3 linked regions of the Saccharomyces cerevisiae S288C genome follow. Changing the gene in region 1 together with any one later gene gives a genetic interaction. Each region holds a gene or a part of one and is shown in the gene's direction. Other genes may lie near its edges.

Region 1 (7,098 bases):
CCTTCCTAGTCGCGTACCGTCACTGGCCCGGCAAGACCACCATCCCCAGCTGGTTCTAACTCAGCTGATGGCACCTGCTTTCTTGTTTTCAGTTTTTGAAAGAACTTGCCATTGCCAGCCGGAGTAGTGGTGGTTGTAGGTTGAGGCTGTCCAACCACAGGTGCGGCTGTGATAGGGCCCGCGCCGTCCGTCGCCCCACTATTGTAAGTGGATTTCTCCATTTGAGCACCGGTGTCAACAGAAGGGCTTTCATATTGGGCATACATGTCGTGGTCCGAGTAGGTAGAGTGGGCCTTGTGGGTAGCACTGAATATAGTGGACCAAATGGCGTTCACGAGCATCAAGAAGACCGAAGTCCAGATGAACGCAAAGTTTTTGGGTCCCAGCCTTGCAGACCTCCCGCTGTTGCGGAAGGTCTTTCTGGCCTTCACATAGCAACCTGTGTACAAGCATGCAGCCAATATAATGAAGAAAAAGGCCAACCAGGACAACACACAGTACAGGACTGGCACTGCCTTGAAAGGAAGGAAGGTAGCCAGAAAGCCGGGTACCAGCGCCAGTACGATGAAAAATAGGGAAATCAGCAGCATGGCCCATCCAACCCTGGATAGATAATAGTAGGTATCCCGGTTGTTTCTGAACGACGATGGTAAATTGACAGAGTTACCAAAATTGTCTCTGGGAGAGAAAGGCTTGGCGGGCGCCCTGCTAGAGCAATTAGCTAGCTGGCCGTCTTCGTAGCCGCACCAATTGTAATTGTACCATCTCGTGGTCGATGGAGCGCTGTTAAAGCCGTTTGTATCAGCCTGTAACCAATAAAAATTTTTCAGCGTTCCAGATTCTCTGCCTCCTGACAGAATAAGAAAAAACGTCAATAAGCCAGCACCGAGTAGGAATAAAAACACAAGCAAATTAACGAACCTTTTGAAAATCATAGCGGTAGATTATAGTGATTAGTGTTACTTGTTACTTGGATAAAAAGGAAAGTATAAGCGTTAAACGTAAATACCTCTTTCTTTTTAATTCACTTCAAAATTACTGTACTTAAAGTTTGCATCTAACGGATAACTAATCAAGAGAACAAAGCAAGATCAAGTAACTGTTGCAAAGCAACCATCCTTTTATATGTCGGCATCTGCGCCGAATGCTCCTCCCCATTCCAGACTATCCTTGTTTTAGCATCAAGAAGGAAGGAAGACCTTTCATTGACTCTTGCTTCTTACCACTCCCCTCTTTCCCTTTTCCTTCGTGTGAAAACGTTCCACTCCCTTATATTCAGAGCACCCTTAAATTTGGTTATTTGGTCTTTTTTTTTTATATTACTCCGAGACGTCACTGCAATTTGGCACCGCCGCGTTGGGCTGCGCGGATCATGTCTTACGAGGTGGGAACGGCTCCGGCGTCATCGTCATTATCCTCCTCCTTTTTCACGGTGACGCCATTTTGCGCGGCAAGAAGTCGCAGAGGATTGACGGTAGCATTAATTGCGCAATCAAGACTCCCTGAATCAGGAGCCGCTGCAACCTTCGGATGGGCCAGCTGTTGTTGCAATTCCCGAAAGGTGCATTCAATTGGGCACCAGATCTGGAGTGCCACGGTAGTGTCAGGGAACAGCGTGAGCGAGGAGGTTATATTGAATTTAAATGAATGGCCGAGAAATTGTGCCAATTGCGTATATTTTTCCTCAAGAGGCTGACGCTGTAAGTAGGCGCTTGAGCGGTTGAAAAAATAAGCAAAGTTCTTGGAGGTAATGATGTGTAGTTGCAACACTCGCTCCGGGGCCAAGCCGCGGGTTTGTAAAAGTGGGAGCTCATTCGTGATATGGAAGCAGAGATCAGATGCGTGGTACTCGATGGCGATGATACGGCCCTCGCAACTGTATAATGTGTTGCTCTTGTGTGTTTGCTGTGGGCGCGGGAGGCGAGCCGAGGAGTCCAAGAGAGAAGATATATCTGTGAACTTTACATCGAAGGAGGACACGTCTGCATTCAGGTCGGGTATGTGTTCTGCGAGAGCTGGTGTAGTGGGTGATTTTTTTGGTTCATGCTTTACTTCATCGAACCTCAGTTTCGCGAGATGAGAACCGTTTCTATGTATGGGGAAAAACCTCCGGTACTCTTCGAAATAGCGTGAAATTGCGGATTCGCCAATTCTCTTGAACGCTCGTTGGTAGAACAATCTTAAATGTTCGCACTGTGAAGGCGAGGCGATGCTGCTTATTTGGGAATGCGGGACCGGCTCACATTCGCGCACAATGGCATTCAATTTGCCGTTGTACATTTTCACTTTTATATTCATCTTACAAACTATGCCGTATTGCGAAAGGTTTTCATCGCGGCCGTTCTGTAGATCTCTTAGCCCGTTGTTGAATATTTTTCTGAGCTTAGAGTCAAACGTTTCGAATTGGTTTTTGTACATGATGGCTTTGAAGCCCTCGTTCAGCTCTAACTTGTTCTCGTAATCTATTAGATATCTGTCGTAAAGATAGTTTTGGACGATATCGTTCTTGGTAAAATCGCTAAAGACAAAAGATATAAAGGCAGGTTTATCAAACGAGCAGGAGACTAGCATGCCAAACATTGTTATGTATTTGGTCTCAAAAGTGTCGAGTCCCAACTGACAGAATTCGATGGTGGGGTCTTTCCTTGCCATTTTGCTCATCCTTGTGCGAGACGGATCGATTGACGCCGACGATTGCGCAGGCACCTGCACCTGCGCCTGCGCCTGCGTGTCGGTGCTAATGTTCTTCAAACTCCATACTGCCATACCTGGGCTGGCGGTCTTGTCATTGTCCCACAGGATCCTTTCAACTTCGACGGAAATTCGATCAGGCTTTTCCAGTAGTAAAATATCCGATATCTTGTCGCTTTGACAGTTTAAAACACCGAAGAGCTCACAGATTCGCTCTCTCGTCGGGATAACGATCTCAATGCAATTGACGCCTGGCACCAGGACCTTGTCTGGGACATTTGGTAAGAGCTGCGTAAAATATAATTTCAATGTGCAATATTTGAACTCATTTATACTGGCGAATTGAGGTGGATTCATGCCAACAATTTTGCCCTCTAACCTTTCAACTGAGCCTACACTAGCTAGGGAAAGTTGCTCATAACTGATGGCTTTGCGGATTGAGGACGCGTTCGGACTGTGGAAAGAAAGCTTTCTCTTCCTCTTGCTTCCGGAATCATCATCGTGCCAATTATTTGGTACGCTTGTTTTCCTTTCAGGTGTCTGTGACTGGATGTAGGATTTTGAGCTGAAATATTTCCCGGTAGAGGAGGTAGTTGAGGAATCTGAATCCTCAATGGGATCTGCGCTGTCATGCATTTCCTCTCCCATGTTGCTTATATCTGTGGTCGGTTCATCTACATTAAGCGTCATAAGCTGCGAGTTGAATTCGTTTTGGGATTCAATGTAAGGTATCCCTAGTCTATTTGGCACAAAGAAAGGATTAATTGCTGCGGCTTTTGATTTCTGCGATAATACCTTTTGTTGGTCTTGAACGAACTTTTTTAGTTCTATATCGTAGTGAATCAACTTTACAAATTTAAACCTGTTTTTCTCGTCTCTATTCATTTCTATTAAATTGTTGAAGATATCCACAAGTGAGTTGTTCAAATCACATTCTGAAATAAGTTCTGATGACGAATGCTTGCTGCTATTTGTCGATTTTGTAGATATGGTGCTTATCACACTTACCAAATCCAACGGTTTTATGTCCTCTAAGAATAGAGTATAGTTCCCGTGTTTTGATACATATAAAGCTTTACAACTTGAAAAACATAACCTTTCAAGGTGAATATCTCTCAGTATTACTGTTGGGGATGCGCCTGAGTCAGAATCTAAATCTGGCAGTTCAATATCAAAGTATTGGCAAAGTAAGGAAATAGTGATCCGGGCTAACCTCTCCGAGCCCCTATCTTTGAACTTCAGTTTGATTAAATATTGATCTTCTTGGGATTGATCTCCTCGCCTCTCAAAATTAGAAAAGCCTAGCAAACATTTTGTTTCAGTCAGGTGTATTGAGGTTAAAAGCGCCACGAATTGCACGGGAACTATTGCTTTGCTGGGATAGCCTTCAAAATCTTTACTCGAGCTCACAAAAATACGATTTTTATGTGGAGGACACTCAGGCTCTTCTAAGGTATCCATTTTTAGGCGATAGTTTCCACGGTCATTCGTATCCAAAGAGAAACATATATGAATATATTCTTAAATTTCCATTTTGAATTAGCATTTCGCATCTCACTAGGCCTTCGCGTCTCTTATGACGTTGAAAAATTTGGATATCAAAGGTTTAAAAAGTATAATCACGTTAATCAAGGCTGCATGTACATATTAAATAATCCACATATTATTCAGCAGCGGATTTACAATGAAGATTGTCTTACAAAAAGTCAGCCAAGCATCTGTAGTCGTCGATTCAAAAGTTATTTCAAGGTATGTTACCGGTTTTTTCAGCTTCGTTAGTGCACCAATTTTTTTTACTAACACCTCTATCTATGTGACAGTATTAAACATGGTTATATGCTCCTAGTAGGTATTTCCATTGATGATTCTATGGCGGAGATAGATAAATTATCGAAAAAGGTTCTTAGTTTGAGAATCTTCGAAGATGAATCCAGAAATCTATGGAAGAAGAATATTAAAGAGGCCAATGGTGAAATTCTATCCGTGTCTCAATTCACTTTGATGGCAAAAACCAAGAAGGGAACTAAACCCGATTTCCATTTGGCCCAAAAGGGTCATATAGCTAAAGAACTTTATGAAGAATTCTTAAAATTACTAAGAAGTGATTTGGGTGAGGAAAAAGTAAAGGATGGTGAATTCGGCGCAATGATGAGTTGCTCTTTAACTAATGAAGGGCCCGTTACAATCATTCTTGACAGTGACCAATAAGATTGACCTTATAGATATATACGAGAAGAAAATAAAAAGCAAACATTATTTGCAATCTTTCTTTCGCAAGATAAAGTACCAAAATCTTTCCATGTTATGTTCTCAGTGAAGTTGAGTAGAGCGGAGAGGAGCCCTCCCCAAAAAAATGAATACAAAATATCTGTGATGGATTTTTGAATTCACGCTTCCTTCAATAACCTTCGCCAAGAAAGTCTAGAATTGTTTTATATTCTTTACATAAAAGTAAGTAAATCAACTTTAAAAAACTTTAAGGGCGAAAATGAAAAAAAAAAAATGTAAAAGTGAAAAAAGGGACGGCGAAGCGATGCCCTGCCAGTCTTACTAATCCAGAGGGCTAAAAGCATGTTTACAGTGTATTTCCAGTCATAGGAGAGTATTGACCTGGCATGGAAAAAGAAACGCACAATGAGAAAGGGGATATATACCCTTAAATTGACGATAGTTAAGGAGATTTTGAGGTTTGTGTTACTAATAAACCAGTAAGCATACTCGTTGATGACTTTAACGTATATTTGGTTTCCAAGGGATATTGAAACCGTATCTTAAGGGATGACGATGGTTGGTTAACATTCCCTAAAAGACAACGTATAAAAAGGTTCAACAAAGCGTCCGTTACCATTATGCTTTGATGTTCTCAGTACGAAAGTTTACGGTTTTTTTTTTCAATTGAGGAACATAAACCAAATAGATATATTATATCAACGTTATGAAACGAGTTACTGGAGTTTTCTTAACACTTTTGAGATTTTCTCAATTTGCATCATCGGTTTTGGTGATGTCACTTTTGGCGTATGCCATCCACGCCTATGGAAATAGAGGTAATAAGAAAACCAACTTCACATTGGCAACAGGTGTCATTAGTGTGTTTTATCTGATTGCCTTAGGTATTTTGTGTCTGGCCCTACCCACATTGATCTACATAGGAATGTACTTCTGTGCCGAATTGATCGTTTGTATGCTATGGCTAGCAGCTTTCGTTGTTCTTGCCAAAGCTCAAGGTGAACGTAGCTGTAGCAACACTAATGCAGACGGATTATACTATAATCCGTACAGTGGCCAATATACTGCTGACAGTCATAGAAGAGCATGTAATTCTTCTCAGGCGGCAATCGCCTTTTCTGGCCTTTGCTTTGTACTGTTTTTGATCAGTGTGATATTACTGGGAATTAATGTCTTAACACCTATCAGGAAGCGTTATCAAACCCAAGGAATGTGGAGAAGCGGCGCTTCTATGGGTACAAAGCTCCATAGGTGGAGCGGACTAGCTTTAAGCGAGCCTTTTGAAGAAACAGCTGCTTACGATAACACCAATGTTAGGACCGGTGATGTCGAAGCAGGTGCAGGTGATAATGCTGCTTACACATCTGAACCGAATGGCGACGCACGCTATGCAACTAATGACCCCAATGGGCAGTACCATACTACCACCACCAACACACGTTACACCACAACAACAGCGGACCCTAAGACGCGTTACACCACCAACGATCGTAATCCTGGTTCTGCGAATGTCGCTAACAGTGCAGTGGACCAGCACGCTTACTCTACGGATGAGTCAGGTGATCGGTCTTATCAAGAAAAGGTCACAGAAGGAGCTCACTCTGGCGCTATGAGTGGTAGCACTGCAGAACCAAACAGGAACGTCAATCAAATGCCATAAATTCAATGATTTCCTTTTTGTTCGTCTATACCCTTCACATACTTTTTCTTTTTCTTTTTCTTTTCTTTGCTTAACGATTTGAATTGCTCCTGTTCTAATAATGGCGTCGTCTTTTAGAAAATCCTTATCAGGTGTGAATAATGCTTAATTTTTTTTATATATAATGATTTACTTTTATTACTTCTTATTTTTATATTTTCCTCTGTCAAATATGTGACTGAAATCTTCCAATTTATTAATATTAAAGTGTGACTATCACTTGAGTTTAGCGACAGTCTCTAACGCCTCGAATTCATCGACATGGGAAAATTGGAAAGGGTATCGTTTTTACACTTCCCATTTTCTTCCAGCAAAAATGATCGGCCCAGAGTCTAGTTAAAGCATGATTAATTCTCCCAGGGAATTTTTTTGCTTTACTAGTAACAGTAGTTCTGGAAATTATTAAGCGTTCTTAAATTCTGGGACGGTCGTGCAGAATATTAAGATAGGTGATATTTACAAATATAAAACATTCATCG
Region 2 (10,818 bases), on another chromosome or scaffold:
GGAGAGGATAAGGTCATCCCAGGATTGATGGCGTGTGGTGAAGCTGCTTGCGTATCGGTTCATGGAGCGAACAGATTAGGCGCTAACTCACTACTGGATTTAGTCGTTTTCGGTCGCGCCGTTGCAAATACCATTGCTGACACATTACAGCCTGGCTTGCCTCATAAGCCATTGGCTTCAAACATCGGGCACGAGTCAATTGCTAATTTGGATAAAGTAAGAAATGCTCGCGGCTCACTGAAAACCTCTCAAATCAGGTTGAACATGCAAAGGACAATGCAAAAAGATGTTTCTGTTTTCAGGACGCAAGACACTCTAGATGAAGGTGTTAGAAATATTACTGAAGTGGACAAGACATTTGAGGATGTGCACGTTTCTGATAAGTCAATGATCTGGAATTCTGATCTCGTAGAAACTCTGGAATTGCAAAATTTACTTACTTGTGCCACACAAACGGCTGTTTCTGCTTCCAAAAGAAAGGAGTCTCGTGGTGCTCATGCGAGAGAGGACTATGCAAAAAGAGATGATGTGAATTGGAGAAAGCACACATTATCATGGCAAAAGGGGACATCAACACCTGTAAAAATCAAGTACAGGAATGTAATCGCACATACTTTAGATGAGAATGAATGCGCCCCAGTCCCTCCAGCTGTCAGATCCTATTAATTCTTATTTATTTATTTATTTATTTTGGAGGGCAAACTTATTTATTGATCTGGCAAAAATGATCTTTCCCTTTTTTCTTATTTTTCTCTCTATCTCTCTCATTGATTCTTGGTCAATAGTACTCGTTTACTGTCAACTTACACCTTATCTATTATGCTATATAATTTTATGCAAGACATTGAAGTACAATATACGTCGAGCTGCAATATGCAAAAATATCAGAGGGAAACCAGCTCATTAGGAAATATGACATGTGGGCTATCTGTTTGTTGGTGGTAGCTGGGTTTTTTTTTTTTTTTTTTTGATTTTGTCGTGCGGGTGTGCAGGCTGGGATTTCAAACAAATAACAACGAGTAATTGACAAGAAAAACTTATTGGCTTATTTTCTTTTTGTTCTTCAAAATTGTTTGCCTTACCCTCTCCCTCAGTTTGTTTTCGAGTGATTGTCTATTAGGATCAATAGTCAACTTTGCTGTTTCCATACTTAAAACATCACTAGTCTTTATGCCGAACTTCGCATTTATAAAAGTGTCGCAAATCAATCTCATATCGTCGTAATTTTTTCCATACCACAATTCACATAAATTTCCAGTGACCTTACACAGGTCTAAAAACTTTTCATCATCTTTACTGGCATCTTCCTTTTCAAAAATTTTCTTGAAATGCAAAATCAATTCAACAAATTCATCGTTATTATTCGTATGTTCATAGTCACCTTGGCTCACTAGTTCGTGAAGCTCATCGTAAATGGATAACAAAAGGGTGATGATAGTGCATGCAATGAAAATATCCAAGGGATAATTGAACGTCAGGACGTGGTCCCAAACGATTAGCACATATTTTAAGGGTAATTCTCTTAAAAATAACAACCTTGTCCATCGGATGAGCCAGATTAGGTTGGAGTGAATCAGATGGTCTACGTTTTTTTTCTTCCCGCTGCCCGTTTTTGGTGGTTGGTAAAAAACCTTTGAAAACAAGTCTGGCAAACAAATCCTAAAGATTTTCGTGAATACTCTCTTATCCCAGTTAATCAAATTTTCTTCGTTATAAAAAATCGGTTCGATTTGGTTCATTAGCTTGTTAAAGATAATCAGAACGTTTTGCAAATCGGTATTATCGAGATCTGTACCGTGATATAATTGCAGATAAATGACGCTTAATATTTCGTGGAACCCTTGTTTATACTGTAGGTGTTCGCTTTGATGTATAAGCAGGTAATTGTACAAAAGTTGTCTCATTTGAGCATGAACCTTGGGTTCCTGAAATATATCGTCAAGCATTATCCTTGAGAGGTCCAAATCTATAATTTCCAGAGTTTCCCTCAGTGTCAACGGCTTTTCATCACTTCCCTTGGACAAAGAACCTTTAGTTTTGTCATTGTCATCAGACAAGGGATGTTTTTCAACAGCCTCGACGGGAGTCAGCCTCCTGATTCCCACTGAGGAGGAAACGTTCGAGTGCAAGACCCTTTTAGGTACATTTGCATTATGATTTTCGTCATAGTTGTCGCCATCTGCCAGCATAGGCACTGGCACCAAGCCGAACTGGTTAAGGTCCAAACCTTTAAAGTTATCAGTTAACAAGCAGTTGTTGTTTTCATCACACAGAAGCAAAGCTTTCCAGAGCCAGCCTCTACTATTTTCTTTAAAGATAGAGTCATGGTAGAGTTCACCTTTCCAAATTCCCTTCTGCACCAGTTGGTCTCTTGTCTCGTAGTGGTCAATCGCCCATTGTAAGACATCCTTCATGGTTGCATAAGCGAAAAAATACAAACGCACGACAGCTAACCCTCTCTATGTATGCCAATTCTCTTGACAACTCTCCCCCATTGTTCTGAAAAAGGTAATGAAATTAAACGCTGCTGTACCGATTATGGAAAACTCAATGGAAAAATTGAAAAAAAAAAAAAAAGGAACTAGTAATGCCGTAGGAGAAGCGGGTAACATAATATCCGGTTTTCCTTTACGACCGCTTACAGGCCTAAACCAGCGCACCATCCAGTTACAATAACACTTGGAGCATGCGTACACGTGTGCGTATTCTACGGCTGGCATGGGCAAAATAAGACGTGGAATTTTTCTGTGGTCAGAACTTTGCGTCAGTAAATAATTCAAGAAAAAATAATAATTATGTCGAAAAAAAAATAGAAAAAAAAGAAAAAAAGAATACTAAAAGGTGAGTGTTCAGGAAAACCGCAAGCCATGTTTGTTGATTATTCCGGACTGGAGCGTTACACGGATATAAATGCATCTTTTGGTAAGTTGGTCAACACTTACTGCTGTTTTCAGCGCTGTGAAGCCATCAGCGAACAATTGGAGATTCTGAAAAGTCTAGTACCAAAGTGCCACGACATTGTGGCACTTACTGACGAAGACTTTGCTAGTGGCCGTACTGCCGGACTGACGCAGAAATTGTTTGCTATGGCGATGACCCTACACCAGATCACCGACTGTATCGACCTCCTGCAGAAATGCAACACCATAATACCCATCGAGATCGCCAACCCGGCTAGCTTTGAAAGCGGCGCCGCGACGGCGCCGCTACGTCAAAGCTATGCTAGGCTCTTGGATGACTGGTCCCACTACATGGGCCCATCAACGGTAAAACACACAGGCTGTACCAACCGACCCAAGTGGAGATTTCCCTGGCAACAGTCACGGACTATCATCATCCCCATGCTGTTTATTGGCGAAACTGCAATGAGCACCAGGGACCTAAGGTCTGTGCTGCATGATTGTGAGATCAGGCACGCGAGCGAAATGCCGCTGCAGCTACTTTGGACGTCGTCACCGGAGTTGGTGTACGCCACACCGCATGTTGACGACTACGACATTTGGTCGCGCTACGGGTCTGATTACAACATGCAGATAGAGGACGAAGACGAAGCATCAAAAGGGCGACAGCGCAAGTGTGTGGTGCAGTTGGAGGCACTGTTGGGTGCGCTACCTACTACGGACCCGTTGTTCCAATGGTAGCCCGGGCCTTTTTTTTTTTCATCAGCTTCTCTTTTAGGCCGTCGGCCCCGTTCGATGTTCACCCGTCCTGGACAGCTTGCTCTCCCCCCTTCCTCGTGCTGCGCGACTGTTTACGTTATTGGCTTATTGTATTGTTTTCGCATCTAGAACGTTCAGGTTCAATTTACGCAACGGTGTTTCACTCGAAGCATCTGGCTGTACAAGCAAATGCTGCGTTCTCATTCTCCTTTATATAACAAGCTTCTGCCTTAAAGCGTTCATATGTACATACATATACACCACTCAGGCACTCGCATAATCGCACTTAAATACGCAAAATATACAAGATAGCCCTACAACTGCTCCATGGACTCCAAGGACACGCAAAAGTTGCTTAAGGAGCACCGAATCCCCTGCATCGACGTTGGATGGTTGGTCAGGCCCAGTGCCTCCACCAGCAAGAGCTCCAGACCAGGGAAATCCGAGTCCAAGGCCAACAGTGTGGCTCCTGACATCCAGATGGACACTGCTCGCCCGCCCGTTTTCGAAACGTCTGTAGACTCTTCCAGCAGCATTCTTTCTTCAAACGATAAGGGACGCCGTCACTCCGTAGCTGCGAGCTTGCTAATGGATAATCAGCGTGCTAACGCTGGGTCTACATCCGTTCCCACAAACATTCCTCCCCCTAGGGGTAGGTCGAAGTCAGTGGTGGAGACTAACCTGTCTAACGTTGAGGCTGACTCCGGACATCATCACCACCACCGCCACCACCATCACACGGAAGATGCTCCTGCACCTAAGAAGGTCGGATTCTTTAAGAGTCTGTTTGGCCATAGGAAGAAGGATCAGGAACAACAGGAGAAGGAACGAGAAAGGAAAGAGCGCTCACCCTCTCCGACTCACGTGGACCGTGGCGCGGCCATAAGAAGAGAAAGAACGGCTACCATATCTGCGGAATCACCACCGCCTTTGCAGTACAATGCTCCACCCTCTTATAACGATACTGTGGTACCGTTAACAAGATCCAAGACGGAATCAGAAGTGTATTACGAAAATCATCCGCAAAGCTACTACCATGGCCGTATGCGCACATACCACTCACCAGAAGAGGGTAAAGTCGACGGAACTTCCCCCGCAGACGATCATAACTATGGCGGCTCTCGACCTGATCCTAGATTAATGGATTTCTTGCGCTACTACAAATCTAAGGATTACAAATTAGCCGCCTTCAAAGAAGGGAACTTTATTAAGTCATCTGCGTCTCCCACAACCAAGAAAAATAGACGCGCTTCGTTCTCATTACATAACGACAAACCACAACCTGCCAAATCACTTGCTCACCAGAAATTTGACGCTAAGGGAAGACCCATTCCGCCGCATCCCGACGCACCCAAATTGCCTTCCGCCTTCAGGAAGAAGCATCCAAGCAACGCATCGATAGTAGACACAGTGGATTCCAATTCGGACGTTTCCTCGTCAGCGCAGAATAATAATCAGACACCTTCTTCTCATAAATTCGGCGCCTTTTTAAGGAAAGTTACCTCTTATGGGAACAACAACAACAACAGCACCAATGCCTCCTCCCTTTCTGCAAACGTCAATAATCCAGACACCTCATCGACGTCCCTATGGTCTTCTAGTTCAATGGAGTTCGACCCTTCAAAGATAACCACCGTCCCCGGCCTCGAGAATATACGGCCCTTGAAACACGTCTCCTTTGCTACGAACACCTATTTCAACGATCCTCCACAACAAATATGCAGTAAAAACCCTCGTAAAGGTGAAGTGGAAGTGAAGCCTAATGGATCTGTTGTCATTCATAGGTTGACTCCGCAAGAACGCAAAAAAATCATGGAATCGACTAGTTTGGGTGTTGTCGTTGGGGGGACCGGGCAATTAAAACTATTAAATCCCGAGGAAGACGACGCAAATGCCAAGAGTAAAGAGGAGATGGCCCCTCAAAAGCAGAACGAAGTGGAGGCACACGACGAGGAGGATAACAATTCTCAAAGGAGAAACATCGTTATGGCCGCTGCAGAAGCTGCTGCAGAGGCCAGAGCCAAAGAGGCACCTAACGAATTGAAACGTATCGTGACCAACAATGAAGAAGAAGTCACTGTCAGTAAGACCGCCAGCCATTTGACCATCGATAAGCCAATGATTTCAAGAAGGGGTGCTTCCACATCCTCTTTGGCCTCCATGGTGTCCAGTGATACCAACGGTACGAACGCAGATGATGAAGGAGAAATTCTTCCCCCACCTTCTTTGAAGATACCTCACGACATTGTGTATACCCGTTGTTGTCACTTGCGAGAAATTCTGCCCATACCAGCCACATTGAAGCAATTGAAAAAGGGCTCGACGGACCCTATCCCCATCTTACAGTTACGTAACCCAAGACCTTCTATGGTGGAAATTTGGTCGTTCAGCGATTTCTTGAGCATTGCTCCCGTTTTATGTCTTTCGTTGGACGGTGTACAATTAACCGTGCAAATGCTTAGAATAATTTTGAGTTCGCTGGTTTACAAACAGCATTTCCAAAAACTTTCTCTAAGAAACACCCCCTTGGATGAAGAAGGATGGAAAGTTCTGTGTTATTTTGTCTCCAAGGCCAAGTCTCTGCACTCTATTGATTTGACAATGGTCCCTTCCATCAAGACAAATGTACAAAAGCCTTCTAAATCTTCTTTGAAGTCAAAAATTCTGAGAATGCAATGCAACTTGGAAAATAGATCCGACATGAACTGGGACCTTTTGACAGCTTCTATTGCCCTCATGGGCGGTTTGGAGGAAATTGTCATTTCCGGGGCCAAGATGAATTCTGCACAATTCAAAAACTTCATCCTCGTTGCTTGTATAGCAACCGAGAGATTGGGCCTCGCGTATAATGGATTATCTAAGAGCCAATGTGATGATTTGGCCAAGTGGATGGTTCAATCAAAAGTGACAGGTCTAGACGTTGGTTTTAACGATTTGAATGGCAAACTTTCCTCTTTCACCGATGCTGTTTTAGGCAAAATACAAAAAGCTAACGAGAAAAACGTCTTCAAATTTTTATCTCTAAATGGGACAAATTTGAGAGTGAACGAACACGACACTTTTGAGAATAACGAGGTCTTAAAACTGATAAGCGTTTTATGTTATTTGGAAAATTTAAAATTCTTGGATATATCGAACAATCCTGCCATCTTCCCCCACTGTGTTCCGACGCTGATTGATTTTTTACCTGTTTTTGTTAATCTTGTCCGTCTGCATATCGACTACAATAATTTAAGTTCCACGAGTGTAGTGATGCTGGCCGAAATATTACCCATGTGTTCAAGATTGAATTATTTTTCCATGTTAGGAACGGAATTGGATTTGGCATCGTCTAAAGCTCTAGCAGAGGCGGTGAGGAAAAGTTCATCTTTGATGACTTTGGACGTGGACTATGTGTATATGCCAGAGAACATTAAGGAAAAAATTTCATTATATGCTTTAAGAAATATTCAAGGGGAGTTGAAAAGGGTTAATAGTGACGATAAAGATATCAAAGATAGCCAATTTTCAAGCCTACAGGACCAACTATCACTTTTATTAACTGAAAAAGCGGATAATTCCGAACATTACAACAAAATGGTTGAGAATTTCATGGCCAAAATCGCGTTGGCACGTATCAAGATTAGTAAAGTGGTTCATGATCTTTTTGATTTAAAACTGAATGGACAATTAAATTTGGAAGGTAAGGAAGCTTTGATTAGATTATGCTTCATAGAGGCAAGTTTGGAAAGAGGCTGTGACCTGCTGAAACAAAGACATAACAACACTTTGAAATCACCAGAGGCCGTCTCAAAAAGTCGGAAAGGGGGAAATCAAGCACAACCCAATTCCGAAAGCTGTCAAAGAATGTTACTAAGCTCATCTATATTACAAAATTCAGATCATATTGCGCTTATGCCATTCGGTAGTGCAATAGTCGAAAAGTCAAGCCCAGATGCAGAAGATGCCGTCGAATTCAGAGAAGGTGACGACTCCAACGTAAATCACGAAGACGTACCAGCAAATGATCAACAATTTCGAGATGAAGTTGATATCAAAAACAAATACTCTATCATTAAAAGAGAACTAGAACACGAAAAGCTTGTCGGTGGTGGCGATTTGCCAGTGGACAAAGAAATCTTAAATCGTGCCGCACAATCCTTAGATAGTGACCAGATAAAGGAATTTCTGTTGAAGAATGACGTCTCTACTATCCTTGGCGTCATTGATGAACTGCATAGCCAAGGGTACCACTTGCATCATATTTTCAAAAAACAGGGAAACCAAGAAGAGACCGCGTTCAGAACAAAGGATGAACAACAGTCCTCCCAATCCAATGATTCAAGTGCTAATGCGTCCCCTACCACTGATCCGATATCCACAGGCTCCAATACTTCTAGAACGAACGATAATGCTCATATTCCTCCGACCGATGCGCCTGGATTTGATAAATTTATGAACAATGCAGAGGAAAATGCCATTGACGCTGCTTATGATGATGTGCTAGACAAAATCCAGGATGCGCGGAACAGTAGTACTAAATAATAAGGGATTTCTCTTAATTTTTTAATCTCTTTTTTGTATTGGGTTTCGAAAATATAATAAGGAGCCCTCAGACATTTACGTATCCTTTCATGTATGATTATTTTAAGTATTTTGTATTTTTTATTATTATTAATGTAAGCATAATGCTTTTGTAGAACTTGAGACAACCCGGACGGGTCCGATGAGTTTTTTTCTTCAAACTTTTATAGAAAATAATAAATGGTGTTAGCACCACTCAGATGTGATATTTGACGTGTCGATTGTGATACCTGAAGACGCTATTGGAGAGCCATTGCAACGCACAGTCCAACAGTAATAAGCTCTGATCGTTTTGAAAAAGTATGTTTCTTTCCATTGGACGGTTGTCTTCCGATCAAAATTTTATCTCCTATACAATTTCTTCCTATTTACTAACGAAAACCTGCGAACCTGTAAACTACATGATTTTTAATATTAGTGAACTTCAATACACCTCAACAAAACAAAACGCCCTTTTCGTTCGGGACTGCCAACAATAACTCTAACACCACCAATCAGAATTCCTCTACTGGTGCGGGCGCCTTCGGAACAGGTCAATCAACATTTGGTTTCAACAATTCTGCGCCAAATAACACGAACAATGCAAACTCTTCAATCACACCTGCATTTGGTAGCAATAACACTGGTAATACTGCATTCGGTAACAGTAACCCCACAAGTAACGTTTTTGGCAGCAACAATTCTACGACTAATACATTTGGTAGTAATAGTGCAGGGACATCCCTTTTTGGATCTTCCAGTGCTCAACAAACGAAGAGCAATGGAACTGCTGGAGGAAATACATTTGGTTCTTCATCCTTATTCAATAACAGTACTAATAGCAATACGACAAAACCTGCGTTCGGCGGTTTGAATTTTGGCGGCGGCAATAACACAACTCCTAGCTCGACCGGTAATGCTAACACAAGTAATAACTTATTTGGCGCTACCGCAAATGCGAATAAGCCAGCCTTTTCCTTTGGTGCAACCACTAACGACGATAAAAAAACAGAACCAGACAAGCCTGCTTTCTCCTTTAATTCAAGTGTCGGTAATAAGACAGACGCTCAAGCTCCCACTACAGGATTTTCCTTTGGTTCACAACTAGGTGGAAACAAAACGGTTAACGAGGCTGCAAAGCCTTCCCTTTCATTTGGTTCAGGATCAGCTGGTGCTAACCCAGCTGGAGCTTCGCAACCCGAACCTACAACTAATGAACCAGCAAAACCAGCCCTCTCTTTTGGTACTGCAACATCCGACAATAAGACAACTAACACAACCCCAAGTTTTTCGTTTGGTGCTAAATCGGATGAAAATAAAGCTGGTGCTACTTCTAAGCCTGCCTTCTCATTCGGTGCTAAGCCAGAAGAAAAGAAGGATGATAATTCCTCAAAACCAGCTTTCTCATTTGGTGCCAAATCAAATGAAGACAAGCAAGATGGAACGGCTAAGCCAGCATTTTCCTTTGGTGCCAAGCCCGCGGAGAAGAATAACAATGAAACCTCCAAGCCGGCATTCTCTTTTGGAGCAAAGTCTGATGAGAAAAAGGATGGTGATGCCTCTAAACCTGCCTTCTCTTTTGGCGCTAAACCGGATGAAAATAAAGCTAGTGCTACTTCTAAGCCTGCCTTCTCATTCGGCGCTAAGCCAGAAGAAAAGAAGGATGATAATTCCTCAAAACCAGCTTTCTCATTTGGTGCCAAATCAAATGAAGACAAGCAAGATGGAACGGCTAAGCCAGCATTTTCCTTTGGTGCCAAGCCCGCGGAAAAGAATAACAATGAAACTTCCAAGCCGGCATTCTCTTTTGGAGCAAAGTCCGATGAGAAAAAGGATGGCGATGCCTCTAAACCTGCCTTCTCATTTGGTGCTAAATCGGATGAAAAAAAGGACAGTGATTCTTCGAAGCCTGCCTTCTCATTTGGTACTAAATCGAATGAAAAAAAGGACAGTGGTTCTTCGAAGCCTGCCTTCTCATTCGGTGCTAAACCCGATGAAAAGAAGAATGATGAAGTCTCCAAGCCTGCCTTCTCATTCGGAGCAAAGGCTAACGAAAAGAAAGAAAGTGATGAATCAAAATCAGCCTTTTCATTTGGTTCTAAGCCTACAGGAAAGGAGGAAGGCGATGGGGCGAAGGCTGCCATTTCCTTTGGTGCTAAACCCGAAGAACAGAAATCCAGTGATACGAGCAAGCCAGCGTTTACTTTTGGTGCTCAAAAAGATAATGAGAAGAAAACAGAGGAATCTTCTACGGGGAAGTCAACCGCAGATGTCAAATCAAGTGATAGCTTGAAATTAAATTCTAAACCAGTAGAATTGAAGCCAGTTTCTCTCGACAATAAAACACTGGACGATTTAGTAACGAAATGGACTAACCAACTAACAGAATCGGCCTCTCATTTTGAACAGTATACCAAAAAAATTAATAGTTGGGATCAGGTACTAGTGAAAGGAGGTGAACAAATTAGTCAGTTATACTCAGATGCTGTGATGGCGGAACATAGTCAAAACAAAATAGATCAATCTCTACAATATATCGAGAGGCAACAGGATGAATTAGAAAACTTCTTAGACAATTTTGAAACCAAGACAGAGGCACTTCTGTCCGATGTTGTGT
Region 3 (7,161 bases), on another chromosome or scaffold:
TTTACATTTGAGCGCTGCATTTGATCATTTATCAAAGGTTATACCCGTTGATACCATGAAACCGTTAGATGGTGTATCAGATACACCTTCTTTCAAAAATATTTATAAAGGCATAGAAAGTACAAAGGTGAAGAAAAATACTTTTGGTGCAAATATTGACATGGACGGAATCAAAGAATTACCTGAATTTCCAATAAAGAAATATCACAAGAGGAGTGAATCAGTCACTGAGCAACAAGTTGAAAATAGCATATTTAGTGAAAATACATTCGAATATCAATTCAACCCAGCAAATGAAGCCAATGCAGATGGGCACGCTATAAATGCAGAAAATTTAATTGAGGACGTGCCATTATTAGCAGATGGTGATACAATGAAAATTCCTCCGGCTCCATGGTGGAAGAGATTCTTAAAACCTCACATTTACTACTCCTATAAGGCTGTAAAGAGCAGACTGCCAGAAATATATGGTTTGGTTGATCCTGATGAAAGAGTCAATGATTTCGATATCTCTCATGCTTACGATTATCCAGCTGTTAGTGCACAATGCCCCGAATTGTGGATTCCTCGCGATCCTTTTGGATTTTCCAAATTGTTGATTTCAGACGTTTCTGGCGTTGTTGAAATGAACGATGAAAATGCTACCATCGATGAGAATTTGAAATTTACTCTGCGTGACGTACCACCACCATATAATGATGTTAAAGACGAAGCAAATGGTGAAGCAAATGGCGAATTTGACACAGCTAGTAAGGAAAATAATCCATTTGCGGACCCAAAGTATAAGGAAGAAGAGAGTCGTTCGGCAGTCTAAAGGTTAAACATTATCAGAAATTATCTATTCCTATTTGTTTAGCTGTTATCCTCTGATGGTTGAATTGTAATTTTACTAAGAAAAGGAGAGGAAAAGGACGTGCATATATTCTTTTAATACATTTAAAATATGATTCTAATCATTTCTTATATAATAGTGTATAGTCTAATCATTCATCGTGTATAGTAACCCTTTTTGTTTTTTTTTATGCAAAGTTTTTTTGTTTTTGGCAATCTATGAGGTTTGAATATTGGATAAAAGGAACTCCGCACAGTAATACGGAGCAGTCAGCTAATTTAACCAGCACTAATAGGGAGTACATTCAATTGGAAACTTTGATTCGCTTGTATGCGTGAAAAGCAAATTCCCTTCTAGAGAAGTTACTGAAAAACATGAATTTATTACGAATGAATGCTTTAACAAGCAAGGCTAGGTCAATAGAACGGTTAAAACAAACATTGAATATTTTATCCATTCGTAATCATAGACAATTCAGCACCATTCAACAAGGCAGCAAATATACCCTCGGGTTTAAGAAATACTTGACATTATTAAATGGAGAGGTTGGTTCTTTTTTCCATGATGTCCCTTTAGATTTGAATGAACATGAAAAGACCGTAAATATGATTGTTGAAGTACCAAGATGGACAACTGGAAAATTTGAAATATCCAAAGAACTTAGGTTCAATCCGATCGTTCAAGATACGAAGAATGGCAAGCTTAGGTTCGTGAACAATATCTTTCCCTATCACGGCTATATACACAACTATGGTGCTATTCCCCAAACATGGGAAGATCCCACAATTGAACATAAACTGGGGAAGTGTGACGTGGCTTTGAAAGGTGACAATGATCCTCTTGATTGTTGCGAAATCGGTTCGGATGTTTTGGAAATGGGTTCCATTAAAAAGGTCAAGGTATTAGGATCACTCGCTTTAATTGATGATGGAGAATTGGATTGGAAGGTCATAGTGATCGACGTAAATGATCCTTTATCCTCTAAAATAGATGACTTGGAAAAAATTGAGGAGTACTTTCCTGGGATTCTAGATACGACTAGGGAGTGGTTTAGAAAGTATAAAGTTCCAGCAGGGAAGCCATTAAATAGTTTCGCCTTTCATGAACAGTATCAAAATTCCAATAAAACCATCCAAACTATAAAGAAATGTCACAATTCGTGGAAAAACCTCATTTCAGGATCACTCCAGGAGAAGTATGACAACCTGCCTAATACAGAAAGGGCTGGTAATGGTGTCACACTTGAAGATAGTGTTAAACCCCCTTCTCAAATACCGCCTGAGGTGCAAAAATGGTATTACGTTTAATATGAAAATAATACCTTCGAAGAAAATGTTTAGATAAAGGTTCCTTGTATATAATTACGTAATCTCTGCTCTCTCGAATGTTGGCTGCTTGATGTATGTGAACGTTTGGAAAGAAACTTGGGTTTATATTCACTGCTAAAATGACATCCTATTAGAAGTTCGTCTTTCTCCGGTTCGGTTAGTCTACTCACCTAGAAACATCTTGCGAAAATCGTCGTTGGACATCTGCTCTTGTTTGTCAGGAATTTTTTTCTTTACTTGAAGATTTGGTCCTTTTTCCATCATGTTTATACAACTAGGTTTGACGTGTTTCATGCTGTGATTCTGTTGATTGTTATAATATCTTTTCATGTCATTAATAGTACCTGAACGTATCACCTTTCCCTGAAATTGAGATCCATTTAGTATCATTAGCATTTTTGCTGCAAACTTACTATCTCTAAATATAATAATGGCGCCATTGAAGTCGCTAACGAGAAGTATTTTCCTAATATCTTTTTCATTGATGTGTATTTCTTCCTGAAGAAATTGGCAGATTAAGCTTGGTGACACCTTATCTGAAAGTGGAAATAAGCATATTAGTGTTTCTAGTTCTTTGCTGTTACGCGATGCGAGAAGTCTTTTGACTTCGTTTCTTTCTAAGAATGGTTTTTTATCAGCCAAGGAAACGGAAATTTCCCTATTACCTAACAAACTTCTATTCATTTGAAGTGCCCTTTCAGCAGAATCTTTATTTTCAAAAACCATAAATGCACAACAGTTATTGAAACTGTGCTCTTTCTGTCCAGCAGGTATGTTGATTTTTTCAATGGAACCAAATCCCTCAAAAGATTCCCTCAGAAGGTTTTCGTCGAGCAATTCTGTACTTAGGTTTCGTATCATAATCTCTCGCCCCTCTAGTGTGGCAGAATCGGTCCGTTTCGACTTTTCCAGCGGATTGGAAACTTTAGTAACTAAAGTATAACCTTCTATTTTGAGTCCATTCAATTTTTCTACACAATATCTTGCATCCTCTTTAGAAGTAACATCGATGTAAGCGAACCTTCTGCTTGTATTGAATCGTAAACTGGGAAGCCGTATACTGAGTGCAACAACGTTAATATCTTGCAATAGATCTCTAATATTTCTTTGAGTATAACTTGGGGGGAAATTCGTCATCCATAATGTGCATTCTGTTAAATGAGATACTATAATTTCATTCTGACCTACAACTTTGTGTGTTTTGGTTATTGCAGCGAGGGCTCCATCATACCTGGCAAATTCAATACGTGCAAAACGAAAGTTCTTCTTCAGCGAATCCGCAACATCAACGTGTATAATGGGCCCACAATGTTTGAAGTACTTATAGACTTTGTTTTGATTATAGCTCTTAGGCAAATTTTTGACTAATACAGTTGTTAATTCTCTATTTCTTGTTAAAGCTTCGTTCGCCTTCTTAGAAGTTAATCCTGCGGCTGCTGGTGATCCTTCATCCAATGGTCGTTTTGAATCTGGTCTAGCGTGATGTCCATACTCCATTATCACAGATTATGAAGTGAATATGTGGGCTTGTTTATCGCTAATGATTCTCATATAATAAATATAAAGGGTTTTCAATGTTGTAGTAAATCTGCCATTTTGAATAAGTTCCCGCCTGAAAATTTTTTAGCGATGACTTTAAAAAAGACATTGATGCACTCTACAATTCATTGTCATGATGTACATAGAAAATTGAATGATACAAGCGGAAATATTATCAGAATAAATCGGACATGGATAGCAAAGAATATCTGATATCATATGGTTGGAAAGAAGGAGAAGCGTTTAGAGAAGGTGGTTTGAAAAGACCCATACTGGTAAAGCACAAGAGAGATAAGAAGGGATTGGGTAATGCTCCTGGCGGGAATGATGGCGAAGCATGGTGGGAAAGGCTATTTGATGGACATCTGAAGAACCTGGATGTAAGCACTGATTCGAATAATGGCAGTATTAAATTTACTCAAAATGAGGCAGTTGCTACTGCTGTATCGAAAAGTAGCTCACCTCTATACAGGTGGTTTGTAAAGGGAGAAGGGCTGAAAGGAACCATTACTAATCTTGGTAAAAAGGAGGAAGCCAGCTTTGTTGTATCTAGTGCAAGTTCGAGTAAAGGGAAGAAGAGAAGAAGGCGTGATGAAGATGATAACAAGGTCAAGAGAAAAAAATTGAAAAAAGATAAAAAGACTAGTAACGACAGTGAGAGTAAGAAGAAGAAGAAGAAGAAAAGCAAGAAGGAGAGTAAAAAAGGAAAGAAAAGTAAGCATAGCAGCGATGAAGGTGATAAATCGAAGCATAAAAAATCCAAAAAGTCAAAAAAACATAAAAAGGAAGAAAGTTCAGCAAGAAGAGATAGAAAGGAGCATATATGATTATCATAGTCTAATATGTAAATATGTATCCGTAAAAGACATTCTTAAAAGTTTGAATTTATGATCTTTTTATTTTTGTATTTAGTCTTTGTTTTCGAACTTTTATTAATATTAAATTTCAGTAAGTAAATTAAAAGAACATCTTTAAAAGAGTATATTTATTGTTACATATGTTGATCTTAAAAGGAGATGAATATTTCTTAATGGAAAAAGGTAAAAAAAAGATTTTCTCATTCATATGTTCCCATTAGGCAGTTCTATGAGGCAGTCGTCCAACTCGTAATCAGAGATCTCATTCTCATCCTCTAAGTAGCCCTTTACCTGAAAAAATGTTCTTTTGTTTAGAGCATCTTCCGTCTCTTCACGATTTAAGCGTTGTAGCTTGGATTTGTCCTTTGATGTCAACCGTTTATCCTTCAATAACTTTTCCACAGGTATGAAATCTTCTCTTGTTTTACTTAATAGCTCCTTTAAGTATGAACTGGTCTTTTTTGGCTGGTGATACTTTTTTAGAATTTGTTTGGGCAGTCTGAATTTTCTCTTTTTATACTTTTCTGGGATATCGTTATATAGCTCTAATGATTTCATGTAGATATCCGTCATATCCTCGTTCATTTCACAACCTCTTGAAACCAAGTCATGATATGTGTATTTAATTCGTCGATTGGCCTGCATGGGCTCGTCGTCTATCTGATTCGCCCTTATATTATTAGAATGCTTATCTTGCCTTACATCGAATTCGTTCTCTTTGGCTATTTTATCATGCAACCCTTCGAATAAGCTGTCCAGTTTAACTAAGATATTCCGGGATATTTCGTTTGGAATGTTCAATTCATCCACATCTAGAGTTACATCATGGTCCAAGGCAGACTTAGAGAGAAATTTTTGCCATTGAGCATCCAGCTCAACCCTCATCATATCAGAGGCGTGCATTAAAGCCCTATTTGAGATCTCCCCCGGCTGTACGCTTACATTTGCAATACCTTCCGGTATATCTTCATACAATTTGTCTACACTAGGGTCAATAATTGTATTGGGATTAGGCCAGCTCGTCCAGTTATCCTTAATTTGGGTCTTCACAAACTGGTTTACTTCATAAAAATGTTTTTTTTCATTTGCCTTATACAATAGTCTTTTCAAGAGGTACGCAGAGTATAAATGCAACGAAAGGTCGACTCTGTGCGAGTGTTCTAGAGAATCTAATAATTCATTTGCAGATTTCAAAGTCTCTTTATCAGCGGTTGTAGTGGTAAGCTCAGATCCTCGTATAATATCTTCGATAGGAGCATCGATCTGAGTTTCAATTTGACTTTCTTCGTCAAGATCACTCATCAAAACCCCACGTAATGTTTGTTCTCAAATATATTTCGTCGTCCCGAAATCAGCACAGTTTTATAATGCAACTGTTAAATGTCTAGAGAGAAAAAACCGCCGACACATCAATATTTTCACCCTTTATGGCTAAACTTGAGTGTGATTCTTGCATCTGAGTAATCTTCAAACACGAAAGGCCTTTTTGTTTATTTTGTAGAAGAAAAATATTTTAGTGAAAAATTATGGAAAGTAGTAGAAATCCTCTCAAGTGAAGCATGACAAAAAGAAAAGTAAGAAACCTTAAAAGACACTAATAGTTGATGAATTACTATGCGAGAACTCACGTAACTCCAACAATAAAAAGCTATTTACGTATACTGATTAAAAAAGAATACAAGAAAAATTTATTCTTTCCTATACAAACAATGATAATCAAATGGTCCATGTCAGTTCTATAGTTCATATACCATAGGCCTTACGGTAGTTTTCAATCGCTGATTTTTGCTCTGGTGATAGTCTATTTCCCATAAATTGTACCACTTGAGTCAGTGATACAATACTTAGCACAGGAACGTTGTATCTCTTTGAAACAGATTGGGTAGCACTTGTTCTTTCCGGATCAGATTCATGAATCACTTCTTGCCTATCTAAAGCAACAATACAACCCACTACCCTACCTTGAGCAATACTGATTATCTCAAATGCTTCATTGATTGCAGTTCCTGCAGTCATGACATCGTCGATAATCAACACCCTCTTGTCTTCAAGCGATGCTCCAACAATAATACCACCTTCGCCGTGGTCTTTAACTTTCTTTCTATTAAAAGCATATTGAATACCTTGAAATTTAGTGCCCCCGATTTCTGCTAGTTTAACGCATACAATAGCAGCCAAAGGGATCCCTTTGTAAGCAGGTCCGAAAATAACATCGAATTTAAGCTCCGATTGAATGATAGCAGTTGCATACGCGGTGGCAAGGTTTGCCAACAGCTTTCCAGAATTGAACAAACTAAGATTGAAAAAATATGGCGACTGCCTGCCTGAATTCAGCTTGAATGACCCAAATCTTAGTGCTTTGCATTCTAATCCCAGTTCAAGGAAAGTTTTTTGATATTCCTCTAAACTTGTAGTAGATGCAGACATTATTGGATTATGTTTTATTATTCTTGATGGCTCTAGGTCTCGACTATTTTGCGTGACACTTCCTTAGTTCTTAATCTATATAAAAGAGCCTGTGATGGCCTTTTACCCTAGATTAGGAAGCGAAGGGGCCTTTCCCGAAAGGTTATGTATGACTCCCTTGAAATGCATATGATAATTA

Evidence for each region.
Region 2: mutations in DTD1 (region 1) and MHP1 together harm fitness more than expected from each alone (negative genetic interaction), as found in Saccharomyces cerevisiae (2 studies listed by BioGRID).
Region 3: mutations in DTD1 (region 1) and TMA23 together harm fitness more than expected from each alone (negative genetic interaction), as found in Saccharomyces cerevisiae (2 studies listed by BioGRID).

Annotation. Positions count from the first base shown.
Region 1 is NC_001136.10:60,867-67,964, forward strand, and holds DTD1 (D-tyrosyl-tRNA(Tyr) deacylase), read left to right. Parts: upstream 1-4,375; coding exon 4,376-4,440; intron 4,441-4,511; coding exon 4,512-4,899; downstream 4,900-7,098. Other genes in the region: FMP45 (Fmp45p), read right to left, coding at 6-935; telomere-binding protein CDC13, read right to left, coding at 1,378-4,152; YDL218W (uncharacterized protein), read left to right, coding at 5,627-6,580. UniProt on the Saccharomyces cerevisiae protein: An aminoacyl-tRNA editing enzyme that deacylates mischarged D-aminoacyl-tRNAs. Hydrolyzes D-tyrosyl-tRNA(Tyr) into D-tyrosine and free tRNA(Tyr). May also deacylate mischarged D-leucyl-tRNA(Leu).
Region 2 is NC_001142.9:357,263-368,080, forward strand, and holds MHP1 (Mhp1p), read left to right. Parts: upstream 1-3,986; coding exon 3,987-8,183; downstream 8,184-10,818. Other genes in the region: succinate dehydrogenase SDH9, read left to right, coding at 1-666; GTPase-activating protein GYP6, read right to left, coding at 1,038-2,414; YJL043W (uncharacterized protein), read left to right, coding at 2,868-3,641; FG-nucleoporin NSP1, read left to right, coding at 8,522-8,522, 8,641-10,818. UniProt on the Saccharomyces cerevisiae protein: Essential for the formation and/or stabilization of microtubules. Binds to microtubules in vitro.
Region 3 is NC_001145.3:800,566-807,726, forward strand, and holds TMA23 (Tma23p), read left to right. Parts: upstream 1-3,890; coding exon 3,891-4,526; downstream 4,527-7,161. Other genes in the region: RSN1 (Rsn1p), read left to right, coding at 1-814; inorganic diphosphatase PPA2, read left to right, coding at 1,207-2,139; U6 snRNP complex subunit PRP24, read right to left, coding at 2,323-3,657; RRN9 (Rrn9p), read right to left, coding at 4,761-5,858; orotate phosphoribosyltransferase URA10, read right to left, coding at 6,300-6,983. UniProt on the Saccharomyces cerevisiae protein: Trans-acting factors of the ribosome biogenesis process.